Arabidopsis thaliana: one gene and its partner. The protein of the gene in region 1 interacts with the protein of each later gene in a pairwise test. Each region holds a gene or a part of one and is shown on either strand. Other genes may lie near its edges. The genes, in order: MGDC and FRA8.

Evidence for each region.
Region 2: the proteins of MGDC (region 1) and FRA8 interact in a two-hybrid assay, tested with the Arabidopsis thaliana proteins (one large-scale study listed by BioGRID).

The regions. Positions count from the first base shown.
Region 1 is NC_003071.7:4,740,079-4,748,559, reverse strand, and holds MGDC (monogalactosyldiacylglycerol synthase type C), read right to left. Parts: upstream 5,399-8,481; 5' UTR 5,173-5,398; coding exon 4,855-5,172; intron 4,294-4,854; exon of another isoform or gene 4,238-4,293; coding exon 4,065-4,237; intron 3,970-4,064; coding exon 3,808-3,969; intron 2,987-3,807; coding exon 2,845-2,986; intron 2,754-2,844; coding exon 2,529-2,753; intron 2,445-2,528; coding exon 2,382-2,444; coding exon of another isoform or gene 2,346-2,381; exon of another isoform or gene 2,342-2,345; coding exon of another isoform or gene 2,336-2,341; exon of another isoform or gene 2,316-2,335; coding exon 2,241-2,315; intron 2,167-2,240; coding exon 1,927-2,166; 3' UTR 1,750-1,926; downstream 1-1,749. UniProt on the Arabidopsis thaliana protein: Involved in the synthesis of monogalactosyldiacylglycerol, the major structural component of photosynthetic membranes and in the chloroplast envelope biogenesis.
Region 2 is NC_003071.7:11,976,213-11,983,567, forward strand, and holds FRA8 (Exostosin family protein), read right to left. Parts: upstream 3,792-7,355; 5' UTR 3,430-3,791; coding exon 3,165-3,429; intron 3,066-3,164; coding exon 2,698-3,065; intron 2,623-2,697; coding exon 2,372-2,622; intron 2,275-2,371; coding exon 1,812-2,274; 3' UTR 1,653-1,811; downstream 1-1,652. Other genes in the region: FUC1 (alpha-L-fucosidase 1), read left to right, coding at 1-277; AT2G28105 (replication factor-A carboxy-terminal domain protein), read left to right, coding at 552-728, 1,094-1,214, 1,299-1,501. UniProt on the Arabidopsis thaliana protein: Involved in the synthesis of the hemicellulose glucuronoxylan, a major component of secondary cell walls. Probably involved in the synthesis of the glycosyl sequence at the glucuronoxylan reducing end.

The DNA of each region.
Region 1 (8,481 bases):
TACAAACTACATCTTATCGATGATTTTTGAATTCAAAATAGTATCTTGCTCTCTTTTTCATTTTTAATTTATTATTTTAATTTAAAAAAATTTCCAATCTTACACATTCCATTTGCAATACAATTTAACTATCTATTTAATCATTATAAACTGGATTTTGATTCTACGGACTTCATCTTAATGAATAAATGCTAAAAATATTATATCAAAATAGTGTTATATGATTTTGATTTACGGTTTTGGCGGAAAAACGTCGGTTTACGGTTTTGGGGAGAAAACGTCGGTTTACGGTTTTGGGGAGAAAACGTCGGTTTACGGTTTTGGGGAGAAAACGTCGATTTTCAGGTTTTGGCAAGAAAACGTAGGTTTTCCGGTTTTGACGAGAAATCGCTGGTTTACGGTTTTGGCGGGAAAACATAGGTTTACGGTTTTGGCGGGAAAACATGATTTTCAATTTTGGTGGAAAACACTTTTTGTGATTTCGGCAGGAAAACAATTTTTGTGATTTTGGCGGGAAAACAATTTTTGTGATTTTGGCGGGAAAATGTGGTTACGGTTTTGGTGGGAAAACGTCGGTTTACGGTTTCGGCGGGAAAACATGATTTTCAATTTTGGTGGAAAACACTTTTTGTGATTTTAGTATGAAAACAACTTTTGTGATTTTGGGGGAAAAACGTCGGTTTATGATTTTGACGAGAAAACGTGATTTGAATATTTAAACCAAAAAGTGAAGTTAAGTAGAATAATTTAGTTTTAATGTATTAACACATTAACATTTTTAATAAGGTTTACTAATATAAAATGAAAAAGTAAATGGACTTAATTGGGTACCCATTTATTTGTGTGAAACCCCATTTAATAAATGGGTTTAGTTGGGTTAACTCATTTAATCCTATTTAATTTTTTTCTAAATGAGTTTAAATGGGTCAATTTCTCTTACACAAACCCATTAATTAAATGAGGTTTGCATACCCATATTAACATCACTAGTTATATCATATTGTATCAGAGTTAACAAAAAGAAAAAAACATTATATCTTAGTTAATAATAAATGAGTTAACAAATTACTAAAATAAAAATCCACAAACTAACAAAAAATCTTTACCATTAGTATGACGTTAAATCAACTGTGGTCTTTTTGAAGAGTATTTTGGTTTGGTGAAAAAGTAGGAGACTACCTATTATTTTTATAGATATGAGTATTTTGAATCGTTTTTCTTTTAGGATTAATAATTGATTGTAGTTTCCATAATTATGGTATTTTATATAACAAGATTGTATAATTTCTTAAATCCTTTTTAAATTTTGTAGGAAAAAGTAATCAATTTTGATTAAGAATTAGTAGCTTCAATTAGAATTAGTAAATGATTTTTTAATTTCTATTTTTAATTTAATAAGATACATATATTTTTTTAAAACTTATCATATTTACTTCTCTAAAATGTTTTAGTTTCCTTATACTTATTTTAAAATATATAATTTCTTACAATTGTCTTTTTATAGTCTTAAACTTAATAAAAGAAAATTTTGTTTTACACGTGTTAAAATCTGAGATCGATAAAATTTGCACATAGCATAATCAATTACTAACTTTGAAAACCGTACTTTATATAATAAGTTAGTTTCCTTGTAATTATCTTCTTACATTTTGAAAACTGTTTAAATTTATAATTTACAATTATCTTTTTGTTTTTTAAATTTAATAAAACAAATTTTTTTTATTTATATATGTCAAAATCTGAGATCGATGAAGTTGACACGTGTTACAATCATATGAGTTACTAACATTGAAAACCATATTTTATATAATAAAATACATAAATAAATGTTGAAAAAGACTGATAAAAGAATGACAAACCACTAGAGAATATACATTAATAAGAATCATGAAATAAGAGAAACCTATAGTCTAAACAAACAACACTTCAATAGGAAAATTCATTAAAAAGTGGAATACGTTGTTGTTGTTGGGATAGATGATGGATATCCTTCACAATGTCGAACACGGCTTCAGGTTGCGACAACTTTAGAGCATTCTCTGACATTTTCTTTAATTCCTCTTTATTGTTGCTAAACCAATCCGCCACGATTTTCGCAGTTTCTTTGGGACTTCGGGTGAAAACTCCAGCCCCATTGTCCACAACATACGGCACGTTGCCTTTTTCCTTTGGGAGTCACATACAATAGAGTTAGTTTATGTGGCCGATTAATCCCTAAGGTGAAGCAAAAAAATGTATACCTGTCCAGGAATATAGTCATTGAGGATAATTGGGAGGCCGCAAATCAGTGCTTCCGCAATCGTACCCGGACCAGCCTGTTTTATGTCATAAAATCTTAGTGCTATTTATATGAATGGGTAGGATTCAAAGATATGACTTACCTTAGTGATGATACAATCACAAGCTCCCATCCATTTTTCCATTTGTGTTTCAAACCCTCGAACCTATAAACGTCACAAGTATATATTAGTTACTTGGTATATAAGTATATAGTAGAAGTAAAAAAAAAATTATATTTTAGTTTGTACCTTGACCGGAATCTTCCATTCATGAGATGCTAATGTAGAAGCAAGGACTTTGTTCCGGCCGCATATGACAATCAATTGTCCTATTGGATTACTTTCTTTAGAGTTGTATAAAGAATCTCCAAGGGCTAGAGCTGTTTTTTGAACCGGACCCATTCCTTCACCCCCTCCCATTAATAGAACCGCAGGTAAATTTAAGTCTATTTCAAGTTCCTTCCTTAGTTCATTCTAACAAACACACATAATAATAGCTATTGTTGATCTTCTCTTGATTGGGAAAAAAAAGATCTCTAAATGGTATGAATTGGACAGAATTTACCTTGTTGAGAATAGTGCGAGGGAAAGATGGGCGGACAGGTAAGCCAAAGACACGGATTTGAGAGTCATCAAGGCCGTCTACTAATGCTCTCTTTGCAACCTCTTTGGACGGACAATAACATCTGCTGACTCCATGATGGAACCTATTACATCAAAATCGAAGATTTCATTTTGAGCTATTAGGTTAATTTCAATGTTTTAAACCCTGACCCGGACAGTGAACCGGATTTTCTTCTGGATCACCGATTAATGGGGTTAACCGAATTAGACCACAGGTCAATTGAATAAAATTTATTGAATATATTTAATATTAATAGAGATTATATAAAATAAAACAAAAATAATTATCTTATGTTTAACAAAATATGAAATCAAACAGTAACAATCAAAGTTTTCAATTTAACTAAAAGTCTAAAAGACTAAAACCGTAACAAATATAGTAGGAGATCATTAATGACGAAAATAAATTAATAAACATTGCGAATTAAAACAACTAATCTCGGTTTCAGTCACTTTAGGCGGAATTGTGAAGACTTCACCAAAATATAAAAAAATCAAATGAGTTTAAAAAGTGAATTTTTTTTCTAAAAATAGCTGAATAGAGTCTAAAATGCTATATTTTATTCAAAAATCGAATATATTTTTTAAAACTCACACACGGCCAGTTCAACCGGTTCACTGGGTCGCGGGTTAATGGCGATTTTTTGTGGATTTTTCCGGGTTTAAAATTGTTGGCTATAGTACTAAACCTAAACCGAAAAAGTGTTTGGGTTGCTGATTAACCGTTCGAACCGAACGGTTTGGGTCGGACGTGAAAACACTGGTTAATTTTAAATATTATTGCATATAATCTATATTTTATTAAATGAAAAGTCATGAGAGTAAACATGCAGGATTAATATGCTAACGCGTGGATTAAACTGATTTTAAGTACTTAGTATATATAGAAGTAATGTCATCTTACCATGTACGGTGGCAAGTGTTTAGATCAGTGATGACCGTAACGAAAATAACTTTCTTGTGAAGTCCTTGCCATTTCATTACCCACAATGGTATGTGTTGCATCAGAGGATGCACGCTAATAATAATGTCCGGTTTGTACTCCATTAAACCGGCCTCTATTTCTCTGTTCACCAAAAGAAGAAATAATCTCCATTATATTGCTAATTCGTAACACTAAGGGATGATAACGAAAAAAGAAGAAGGTTAACATATAAGTACTTGGCATAATAAGCGGCAAGAGCACTTAGATAGCTTTTGTGGATCCATTTGGGAGAAGTACCATGAAACGCAACAGACCAAAGACCAACATGTTTCACCATGAACTTGTACTGTCTCTCCATGTCGTTCAATGGCCATCCAGTGTATTCTTTCCAAACATCTTTTATGATTATCTATAGTTATAAAAAAAATGACATTAGTTCCTAGAGAGAATATTGTAACATCAAAGAGTCAGAGCTAGAGAAATAAATAATGCAAATTTTTAATCATTATTGACAAACAAAATAAATGGAACGTGGGACAGGTTTTAAGACATAGATTGTTGACGTCAGCTCGTATCTCCGACACCCTGGCAAACTCCAAGATTCATACTAGGCTACAAAACTTCCAAGTAGATATTTGTTTCTTTTCGTTTTCAAATTCAAGACGACTACTGCGACAACTTTAATATTGACGGCTGAGATTTCATTAGAATCAGAAACTCCTCTATGATATATTATAACATAATCTATTGGAAAATTTTGTCATAATATAAATACATATTATTCGAGGTATATATTTACAAGCTTTGAAATTTTCAAAATGAATATTTCAAAATATTGTTGTTGTTTTACACAGAAACTAAAAGATAAAAGTATGATTAAGTTTTGTTGCTTATGCAATATTTTTTCGTTTTTTTGTACGTTATATATATGGTTAAGGAAGCATATTATTGGCTCAACCCTATGCGTTGGATTCAAGGCAAAGAGAATGAAAATGAAGATATAAATAAAAATATTAATATTTTTACCCGATAGTCATCTCCGAATTCGATCTTGAAAGCGTCGCGGATGGCCTCGGCTGAAGCACGGTGGCCACCGCCGGTATCACTCATGAGAATAAGAACAGTTTTGATCCTCTCTGCTCCCATCTGCTCCATCTCCATAACTTCTTCTTTGTCTTCTAACCCTCTCTTCCTTAGACGACTCTCCTTCTCATAATCACTTGATCTCTGACGATGGATATACTCATCTTCTACTGTTGAGATGTTAAAATTGCTATAGACTCGTCGAAACACCTTCTCAGTGATTGAATCCGACCGTGTACGAGGTGACACCACTTTCATCATGACTATTTGGTGTTGAAGAAAGAATAATAAGAAGACCGATGGTTGTGTTTTCTATGTGGCTGGTTGGTGATCTTTATGTAAAAGATTTTAAGTTCTTTTGGGGTTTTAAATTTTTTGTAGCAAAAAAAATGGAAGACCAAGTTGCTTCTTTTAATAATTGTTTTTAAATTACTTGAGGAATGATGCTGGAATTATTCTTTTTTTTTTTTTTCGGTTCCTATAGTTTTGCTTAGGTATTTATATTTCGTGTCTTTATTGTTTTATGTGGGGCTTAATTTAGTGGTAGAGTAACAAGGGAATATGGCAGCTTGGAGCCGTCGGATCCGCCTTTGGTTTCGGAATCTTCGGATATATGATTCGGATCTTTCTTTGCATCTCAAGTATATTTAAAACAACTTGACTTTTTAAAAATTAAAAAAAAAATATGACATGGATGGTCCTTTTTGTGACATAGGTAAACCGGTTTAGAATCAAAAATTATCTGGTTTGATTAGGTTTAAATCGATTCAGTTAAATTTGAGTCCACTTTTCATATTAATTTAATACTTGATTAATTGATTCAAGTTAGTTTCGATTTTTGTTTAGTTGTTGATATGAATGTTTGTAAACAAAAATAGGTTTCAGTTCAAATGTCTACTTTTGCATCAAATGTACTCATATGGAAAAATTGTCTATTTGTCTACGAGAATTATGACATCATTAGATATTGACCCGCGGTACACAGCGAGTTGATTATTTGCGTTAGAAAGTTAATTGTTGTTTCAATTTAATATAATCTATATATAAATAACTGAGCAATAGTTTTATTTTTTCAACTTACTTGGTATATGTATTTACTTTTATTGATATAGTAGTATGTTTTTTTTACTTGGTTATGTTTAGTTAAGATAACATGTTTATTATACTTATTAGTACATAAAATGTGTATTTTATGATGCATTAGTACGTGTTTTATTATATATTTTTCTCTTTATTACAGAACATTATTAAAATTTTAATTTATTTTAAATTTGATTTTTGGTATATTACTGTAACTATCCTAAAGAAAAGAATGTTGTTTTATATGAAATAGTTGTACATTATGTTTTAAATCTGTGGTTCAATTTTCACAATTTAATTTATTTGGTATAATATAATTTGAAAATCTCATTTTATTTTTTTAGAAGTAGTAAAATCAAGAAAACTTAATACTATATGAAAAATTTATGTGCGATAAACATAATTACAAATATAAATTTAAAAAATAAATATAGTGACATTCAAAGAAATTAAGACTAATGTGGGTATAATAAGTCTATTAACTATTGGGTATTCTAAAACAATATGAAGCGGTATCAGGACATATGATAAATTTTGTAAAATCATCGATTCAGTTCGGGCATAAAGTAGATGAAGCTATAAAGGCAGAAATAAAATCGATCTTGGGTATACATAATATCGGAGGCATGGGTTCCTATCTCGGACTACCTGAGAGTTTAGGGGGATCTAAGACAAAGATCTTTTCCGTTGTTAAAGATCGATTACAGTCGAATAAATGGGTGGTCAACTAAATTCCTATCAAAAGGAGGGAAAAAAGTGATGATTAAATCAGTAGCCGCAACATTACCAACTTATGTGATGTATTGCTTTAGGCTCCCGAAAACAATTACTTCCAAACTAACAAGTGCGGTCGCAGGATTTTGGTGGAGCTCGAATGGTGAATCTAGAGGTATACACTGGATGACTTGGAACAAACTGTGTACTAGTAAATTGGGAAGTGACTAAGGTTTTCGGGATGTAGATGATTTAAACTCTGCATTATTAGCGAAACAGTTATGGCGTCTAGTTTCGTTTCCGGACTCTCTCTTTGCCAAGGTTTTTAAACGAAGATATTTTAGGAAATCCAATCCTCTGGAAAATATAAAATCATACTCTCCGTCTTATGGCTGGAGAAGTATTTGTTCAGTTAGATCTCTGGTTTGTAAAGGACTTATTAAAAAAGTCGGTTCAGGGGCTTCCATCTCCGTTTGGGAGGATTTGTGGATCCCGGCTCAAAACCCGAGACCAGCAAAAAGTAATGGTTTGTGGATGTCGGATCTTGTGCTCGACTCGACCCGCAATTTGTGGGCTTCCAGACAAGGATTGGGCCCGGCCTTAGAGCCCAATGAAAGCCCAGTGGTTCAAAAAGTTGATACGGAATTAATTTAGTAACGGCTGGATATCGACTTGAATGATAAGCATTCAAAGGCCCGAGCTGTTGATCCGCAACGTACGAAGTTAATAGGGGCGAGGTCTGCGGCGTGAAACCAGCTAATCATTTAAGTCATTTGATTCGTTGTATTAGTATAAATAAGAGTCAATTGTCATTTGTAAAGGGGACGAAAACACCTTGTACTGAAACTATACTGAAACTATACTGAAATACACAAATCCGTTTATCATTTGATCATTGTTCGACCGACAAGACTTAAGATCCTCACAAAAACAACCACAAAATTCTAATTGCGGATTCTGGCATCCACAATTTGGCGCTAGAAGGAGGGTAAGTTAAGTCTTTAACTTCAGAGCAACGATCAATTCACCATGAGCAACACCGACGGTCAGAGTTCCGGCGACTAAACCTCCACCCTCGACGACATCAAGCAGCTGCTTCAGCAGTTGTCAGAGAAAACCGACCGGCAACAGCTCGCAGTAACGACACTCTCCGATAAGTTCGTGTTTTTCTAAGAACATTGCAATGGCCAGCTCGCAGCTTTAGCAGCAAACCATTCCGAGATCAGATCAGCGCACAATGCATACGCCGAGCGGGTTGATTCTCTTTCTGCAGGAACGGCGCGGACTACTGGAGCTCGAACGCGACTCAACTTTCAGGGTGTCGCAAGCCCAAGCGTCCAGAATTCGCAGGAAGCTTCTGGCCAGCAATCTCCTTCACCTCCAGTTGACGTCGGGGCAACGTCGACACAGAATCCAGTCATACAATCTTCACCAGCAGGCCTTGCCGCAGTCTCAGATGGGACAATAGCTCGGACGCCGGCTCCACTGGATCCCGCCATCAGACTCCCGATTTCTAATCCCCGACAAGAGCCAAACACAGTCAACTCGGAGCTCCAGAACCTTCAAGATCAAATCTGGGCAATGAACGCAAAAGTTCATCAGGCTACCACGTCGGCCCCCGAAGTGGAAAAAGTTATTGAAGCAACAAGGAGAACGCCTTTCACTTCGAGAATCTCGAAGCTTCGTATTCGCGATTTCCGAGACTTCAAACTTCCCGGTTACAACGGCAAGGGAGATCCAAAAGAATATCTAACTTCTTTCCAGGTCATCGCAGGT
Region 2 (7,355 bases), 7.2 Mb from region 1:
AAGGATCGCATCTTTCCATCTCGAGACACGGAAGACTGGAAGCGGTGAGTGGGAGAGAGTTGTGAGCGGCACGACGGTTGGTAACAAAAGGCTTTTACGGTTTCTGAATGTTGTTGAGTCGCGGTCTCTAAAGCTTGTGGTGGACAAAGCGAGGACCGACCCACTTATATCGTACCTCGGACTCTACATGGATAAGTTTTCGGGTTCTAGTAGAAACACAACAAAGATAACAATCACAAGGACACTAAAGGAAGAGCAGCAACTACATGATTTGTAAGAAATAACTCTCAAGGATTCATCACATAAGTGTTAGGTATTCTTGAGAATATCTATGTGCATCAAGTCATATATGTGTCACTATCAATTCTTGTATGTTAAGGCTCTAACTTTTACTCTATTGCTTTAAAAGAAATATGACTTTTTTTCTTCAATGACATAAATTTGAGGATTTGGGTCTTCTTTTGTAACTCGGCCCAAATGTTTTAAAGAATTTCTTATGGATTGGAGAAAACTTTTGTGGAAAAACAGAGAAAGCCCTAAAGTTAAGAGACATGGAAGCCACTGAAACGGTTCTTTGCACGTTGCTTGCCGTCGACCTCACAGATTATTGCTATAGAGTTTGTTCTCGCTGCCAGAGAGTTCTTCCTTCAGATAACAATGGCTTTGCTTCTTCTTCATTTTGCAAATTCTGCAAATCAAAAGAACCAAAACTTCTCTATCGGATTCTCGTAAGAACCCTTTCATCTTCTTCTTCCTTCTAGGTTTTTGTTTTCTGGTGGAATAATCTGAAAATTTTGTGATGAATTAGGGTTTTAGGTTTAGCAGCTGTTATTTAGAAATGGGCTTTGTCCTTTGTAGAGAATCAGTTTTGGTGAATCTGTTAATCTCTTGTAAGAACTGTGGAATTGAGTAATTATATAACTTCAAAGTTCTCACCTTTCTGAACCTAACAGATGTCTATAGTGTTAGAAATGGACTTTGTCCAATTTAGTTCTATGCATAGACAAGAATGAGTTTTGGTGAATCTGTTAATGTCTTGTGGAATTGAGTAATTGTGTAACTTCAAAGTTTCCACCTTTTTTGGAGCTAACAGATGTCAATAGCAACAGATGCATCAGTGAAAACTGTGATATGCTTTGATAGAGCTGCAACTGTTCTCTTTGGTTGTTCAGCTGATGAGTTCTTCCACTTCACTAAGCTCAATCCATTAGCCGGTAAATATCATCAAATCGCTGTACTATAAAAGCTCTGAGTAAGTTTGAGATGATTCCTCTTAGATGTTTTGTTTTCAATTGCAGCATCAATGGTGAATCAGGTCTTTGATGGAGAAATGCTTAGGATGACGTTAACTCGGCCTCAAAACCGAAACGCGCAACACATGAGAGTCGCTTCAGTTGTTCCTCTACGATCAGGAGTTCAGCCTGCAATTGTAACCTTGAGACAGATTTGCACAAAGAATGCTTCTTTAGGGAATTTTTCTACAACAAATCACAGTTCCTAATGTTGGAGTACACATATAAAATGCTACTATCACAAGTTGTTTGATATCTTTTCTTACACTTCATTTTGTCCAAAATATTCTCTACTTAGGCTAAGTTCCTCCTTGGATTATGTTCTAATTTGGTTGTTAGAAAATGACTTAATAGTGGATGTGGAAAAGTTTAATTAAGTCTCACCTAAAGTTCATTTGGTGAAATTCCTAACAACAAATCTTGAAGGTTCATATCTTTCACATTTAAGAGCTTACTACTCTTATATCTCACTAGCCAGGAAAAAAAATAGTAATACACAGGTGTCAAAATTATATTGGTTTACAAGAAAGAGTTTGACCTTCTAACAGACCTATTCAATTTCTTTGACAAAGCCTCCAAAACTTGCCACGTGGCATCTCCCTCTCTTGAAGGAACATTAAACATAAGGGCCCGCCTAACAGACGGATCCTCCAAGTTTCTCTGTATGACTGACAAATTAGTAGCCGCCACGTGTTCCAAAATATCCCCTAGCTTTCCAACGTCTCTCTCCGCCACCGTGAGCGAAATATCCGGCCAACGTACGGTGGAAGGGAACGGCAAACGAATCCCGTCGGCTATAATCACCGGAACACAGCCAAGAGCCACCGATTCAACAAGTCTTGGGCTCCACGGTGCCCACCCGAGAGGACATAAACAGAAAACAGAACGAGCTATTTCTGACTGGTAACCGGCAAATCTTTGCCGTTGGAGATAAAACCTCCGGTCACCACCGTAACTCCGCCATATATTCGTCCTTACACGCCTGATAGGTTAAAAAAAGTAGTTCAATATTTAAAGTTTTATGCATTTTATAGAAGAAAAAAAACTAGGTATAGAGATTGCTATAAGAGTTTTGTTACTTGCTATAGAAGCGTCCACTGATGTTTTTGGGATGAAGTTCCATCTTGCCACGGAAAAAAACCCAAATGTCTCGTTCTTTAGTTACCGGAATATTCTTTTGAGTCTTGTGTAAACTTTCCGGTGAGATGTACGGTGGTATCACCACGTTCTCTACCTCTTGGCATGGATGGTTAAAAGTAACACCAAATGTTTGCAAAATTATAGAGTTTCTCAAAAAAATTGGTACTCCATCAGCAATAGCTCTATCCTCCTTCACAACCAAAAAGAAATATAAATTTTGAGTATAAATAAACATATATATTTGGCAAATCATTTTTAAACTAACCATGGTGTGGAAGCAAGAGCCAAAGTCGTGTGTGGCCGTGAAGACATGATCAGAGCCACTGGTTCGGTTCCAAAAAGGGTATTGAGTCGAGACGAGCTTTATCGCGTCATTGATGAGTGATCGTGCATGGCCAATCGCTGGAAAGCCATTAATGGTGCTGAAGTTGCAAGAGACATAGACAGGGACAAAGAAGAAATCGGCTTCATACGGATCTTCCGTCCTTACATCTCCTTCGAGGCTGAGAAACGCCTTATGGAGAGCCACTTCCGCGGCAAAGAGGTGGTTGGTGCATCTATCATTGGCTAACCAGTCTTTGTTGAACTTTGAAGGTAAGTCATAGACGTAGATTTTCAAATTGTTGAATACGTCTAAAGAAAATTAAAACAACCAAAAATATTGTTATGAAAAAAAATTCTACTAGAAAACATGATGGATTCATGATTCATCTATATATATGTAATATGTACCTGTTTTGATGTTAGGTTGTTGAGAGGTAAACCCAAGTTTGTGATCATGGATTTTAGATTCAAACATGGCACGAGAAGCGAAAAGCTTAGGTTTATGGTTAGTAAGAAGATGCTTTGATATGGAAGTAGAAGATCTATGATCTTGATCATGGTCGACAAAGAAGGAAGCAAAAAAATAGAGAGTGAGGATAAAACAGAGGATCCATTTGTAGTATTGCTTAAAACAGAGATTTTTCTCTGTTCTTCTATGTTTATGTGTTGTCATCGTTCTTGTTTCTCCGGGATGAATCTTATGGCCTGAGCTGGTTGTTGAATTCGAAACATCTGATTGTTGGGATTAGTTAATAGGGTTTAAGTTGGTGAAGAGGAGTTTTCGGGTTTGGGAGATAAAGTGGAGATTAAGGAATAGAAGAAGGTGGAGAAAGATTGATGAAGACTACTAATTAATCCTTTACCTTGTTGACTCTTAAGAGATGTTAAGCCATTCAAATTTATAATAATTTCTTCATTTCGTTGTATTTGGTGTTTCTTTTTTCTGTTTCTTGTGGATTTTTCTAATTACATGTGCCAAAAAGTCGTATTTTTGTATAGATATTTATATATATGTTAGAAATATATGATATAAATAGATATTCCATACAATTTTATTAAATGAATTTACACGTAAAGAGACTCAATCTATTTGCATGTAAAAAAAAACTTACATCTCAAAGTGACAATGACAAATTTTGCATATTTTGTGAAGTTGTTAAAGTATGACACCTTAGGTGCTTTATGTGAAAAGTATATTTTCGGACTCTCAAACCTAATATGAGGTTTTTGGGATCAGGACGTTATTGGATTAATGCTCATACAATTCAAGAATTATTTTAAAGAGGCCAAACATGACGAAAGAAAAAGAACCATGATAATATTTAAAAGATATAATAAATATGAAAATGTTGGATTGTTAGGAAATACTACTTTTCTAAAGGAGCACAAATATGTATTGAGCGAAAGCAAGAAAACAAATCTCTGTCATGTTTAACCGAAACATTCAAAAGAAAACATATCTATGTTAGGCGGAGTTAAAGAGGTCTTTTAGTGTTGAGTAATATAGTAAAGTGGAGTACTAATTTATCGTAAAATTATATAAATAATAAAAATATTTGACATATACGTATAACGCATAGCCATGGAAAATTAATATTTTTAGTTTATAAAGAATTGTTATGTAGAAATATATAATTTTCAAACAATTGAAATTCAAGAATTTGCATTCCAATAAATTTGTATATTGTCATATTTGTGACTAAAGTATTTTCACATGTTAGTAGTATAGTAGTTCAAAACTTCTATTTTACTACCTAAGAAATGTTAGCTCTTTAATTTAATGTTAATTAACATATTAACTAGCGAAGGTATAACCGGATTGGGCAATGATGTGGAAGTCCTGAAGAACAAAAAGTTCACAGTTTATAGTACATAAAGATTGATATAAGCCGCAAAATTTATTTAAAGACTACCTCATCTTTGATCAGATTATGATGGGTAGGTATTATTTCCGTACACGCCAAGGGATAATGGACCCAACTCGAATAGGAAACCATTTGTAGCCACCAAATTTTGTTAACTTCTCAAACCAATGAATATTTGTCATACACTCATACAACACAATTATTATCTTTCAAAAACCAGAGCATTATGAACGAAAATCAGACTATCTTTTAGGACATGTGGATTTTGTTTTTGCTGTTTGTTTACTGTTTAGTATGTTTTTTTTTTGGTGGAATACTATTTAGTATGTTTACAAATAGCTAAATCATTGATTATATTGACATTGGATTACAACACAACATCTAAGTATATATACATTTAGCACTTTGCTCTAGAACACATAAAAGTAGATAATTAGATAATAAATTTTAAAACTTATGAAACAACAAGTTAGAAATTTCAGTTACAAATATGTAAGAAAAATTTACATCGAAAACATAGTAAAAGTTTATTCGCTTGTAAGGTAATTATTGTGTGGAATATTTATTTTTAATTAATTCGCAGTAATATGTTTATTTATTAGTCAAAACATGTAAAAATGTTTGATAATTTGGAAAACTATGTATAATATAAAATAATTTAGAAAAATGGAGAAGTAGGAATATATACAAAATAGTTTTCAAAGAAACTTATGCTTATCCAGAAAATATTTAAAACGTTACTATTTAATGATACAAGAGATTTGAAGAAAATAGTTTTGTATACACTTAGAAAACGACTCGTCAACCAACTTTCTTTGGCTTCTATAATAGTTCTATAGATTGACATTTTCGATCTAATCAAGCCAGATAAGAATATTAGGTGGCACTAGCAAATATGTAGAAGCCTAAGAGCATCATTATCAATAGGTTCTTAAAAATTTTAAAAAAACTTTTAAAATATTATATAAAATAAAATACAAAAAAAAAATAGAAAAAGGTTCTTAGAAAAGTAAAATTGACTCTTAAATAAGATATTGTTGATACACTTTCTCTTCTTATTAAGAACCATTTAATATTTAAGTATTATTTTGTCTATCCAAAATGTTAAAAATACTACTAAAAACTCATCAATAAGAATGGTCTAAGAACATACATCGTTGTGATGAACTTTCAAAAGACTTTTAGATATTCATTTCAGTAAAAAAAAGTACTGTAAAATGTTGCTAGAAACAATAAAAACCAAAAATTTCGACGAAAAAGAAGAAATCAAATTGATGTTGAACCACCTCTCCGTTCCCGTAATCATCAAGAATATATACAATCCCCTAATTAAGTAATATCAGGGTTTCCACTATAATTATGTATCCCTTTTCAAAAAAGTATTCCCTTTTCGAATGAATAAATATACATAAACCCTCTTCTAGTTTAGTTATTTGTAAGGTTATGTAGATATGTAACAATTTATAAATATTTTCACGACTGTACCATTACGAGTCCCTTACCTGATCAGAAATTTCTAGAAACAACATACAAGTGTTCAACAATTTTAACGTATTCTTGTTATGTACATTCTCAACTCATAAAAGTACGCTTTTGGAGCTAGAAATCCTTCTCCCAAATCCTTCTCCCAAAACGAGTTTTATTTAACTGAAATTTGCTCAGATTGACTCTAATTTTAACAAAAATAACTAGAATGACTCCTCTTGGCAATGATTAACTAAAATGACTCCAATTTTAAGTAAAAAGACCAATTAACCTTAATCAACCTTATACCATATTTTTAGCAAAAAAAAAACGAATTATGAATCAAATAAATTAAAAATATAAATGAATAAGATCCCAAAAAAAACTGGATCTTATTGATATGAAAAAATATAAATTAAGAATATAAATTGAAAAAATATAAATTAAGATTATATTAAAAATATAAATTAAAAATATAAATTGATAAAAGGAAACGCAATCAAAAGATCTTATTGAAATAGTTGATATGTGTAGAATAAGGAAAAAAACCAAAAAATTTGATTTTAGAAAGATATACACTTTATTGTCAATTTAATGCATTAAACATCAAATATGGAAATAACATAAACAAATCTGCCGTAAGAAAACCCTACGCGTTACGAGAATATTCCTTAACTCAAATATGGTAATATTTCGGAAAAATCTGTTAGCTAATAAAAGTCTGTCGTAACGTTTTCAAAATAAATAAAAAAAATCCAGTCAAACCGGATTTAACATACAATCAGACCGGGAAATAATTTAATTGAGGGCTAGCTAATAAATCTCATATAACAAAAAATTTCGAAATTTTAAAAATAAATCTGCCAAAAAAAGTCTGTTATTACTAAAAAGGTTATTCTAGTCATAAACAAATCGGCCATAACATTGACATGAGTAAATCTGTTATGCTTTGACACTGAAAAACAAAACTGTCATCACTAAAAACAAATCTGTTATCACTATGTGACTGTGTAGTAATTTTTTTTTATAACAAAAATCTGTTGTAAAACACCAGATTTGTTAACAAGTTAATTAAATCTGTGATTACACAAAACAACTCTGTCATGCCTATATAACATTTTTCGAGGTTAACAAATATGTTGTAACACAACAGATTTTTGGGTGCAAATAGAAAATCTGTTGCCACCATAAAGAAAAATCTGTGGTCCGGAAAACAAATCAGTGACATATTTGGTTTCAACATTCTTACTTTTGAAATTTAAATAAAATC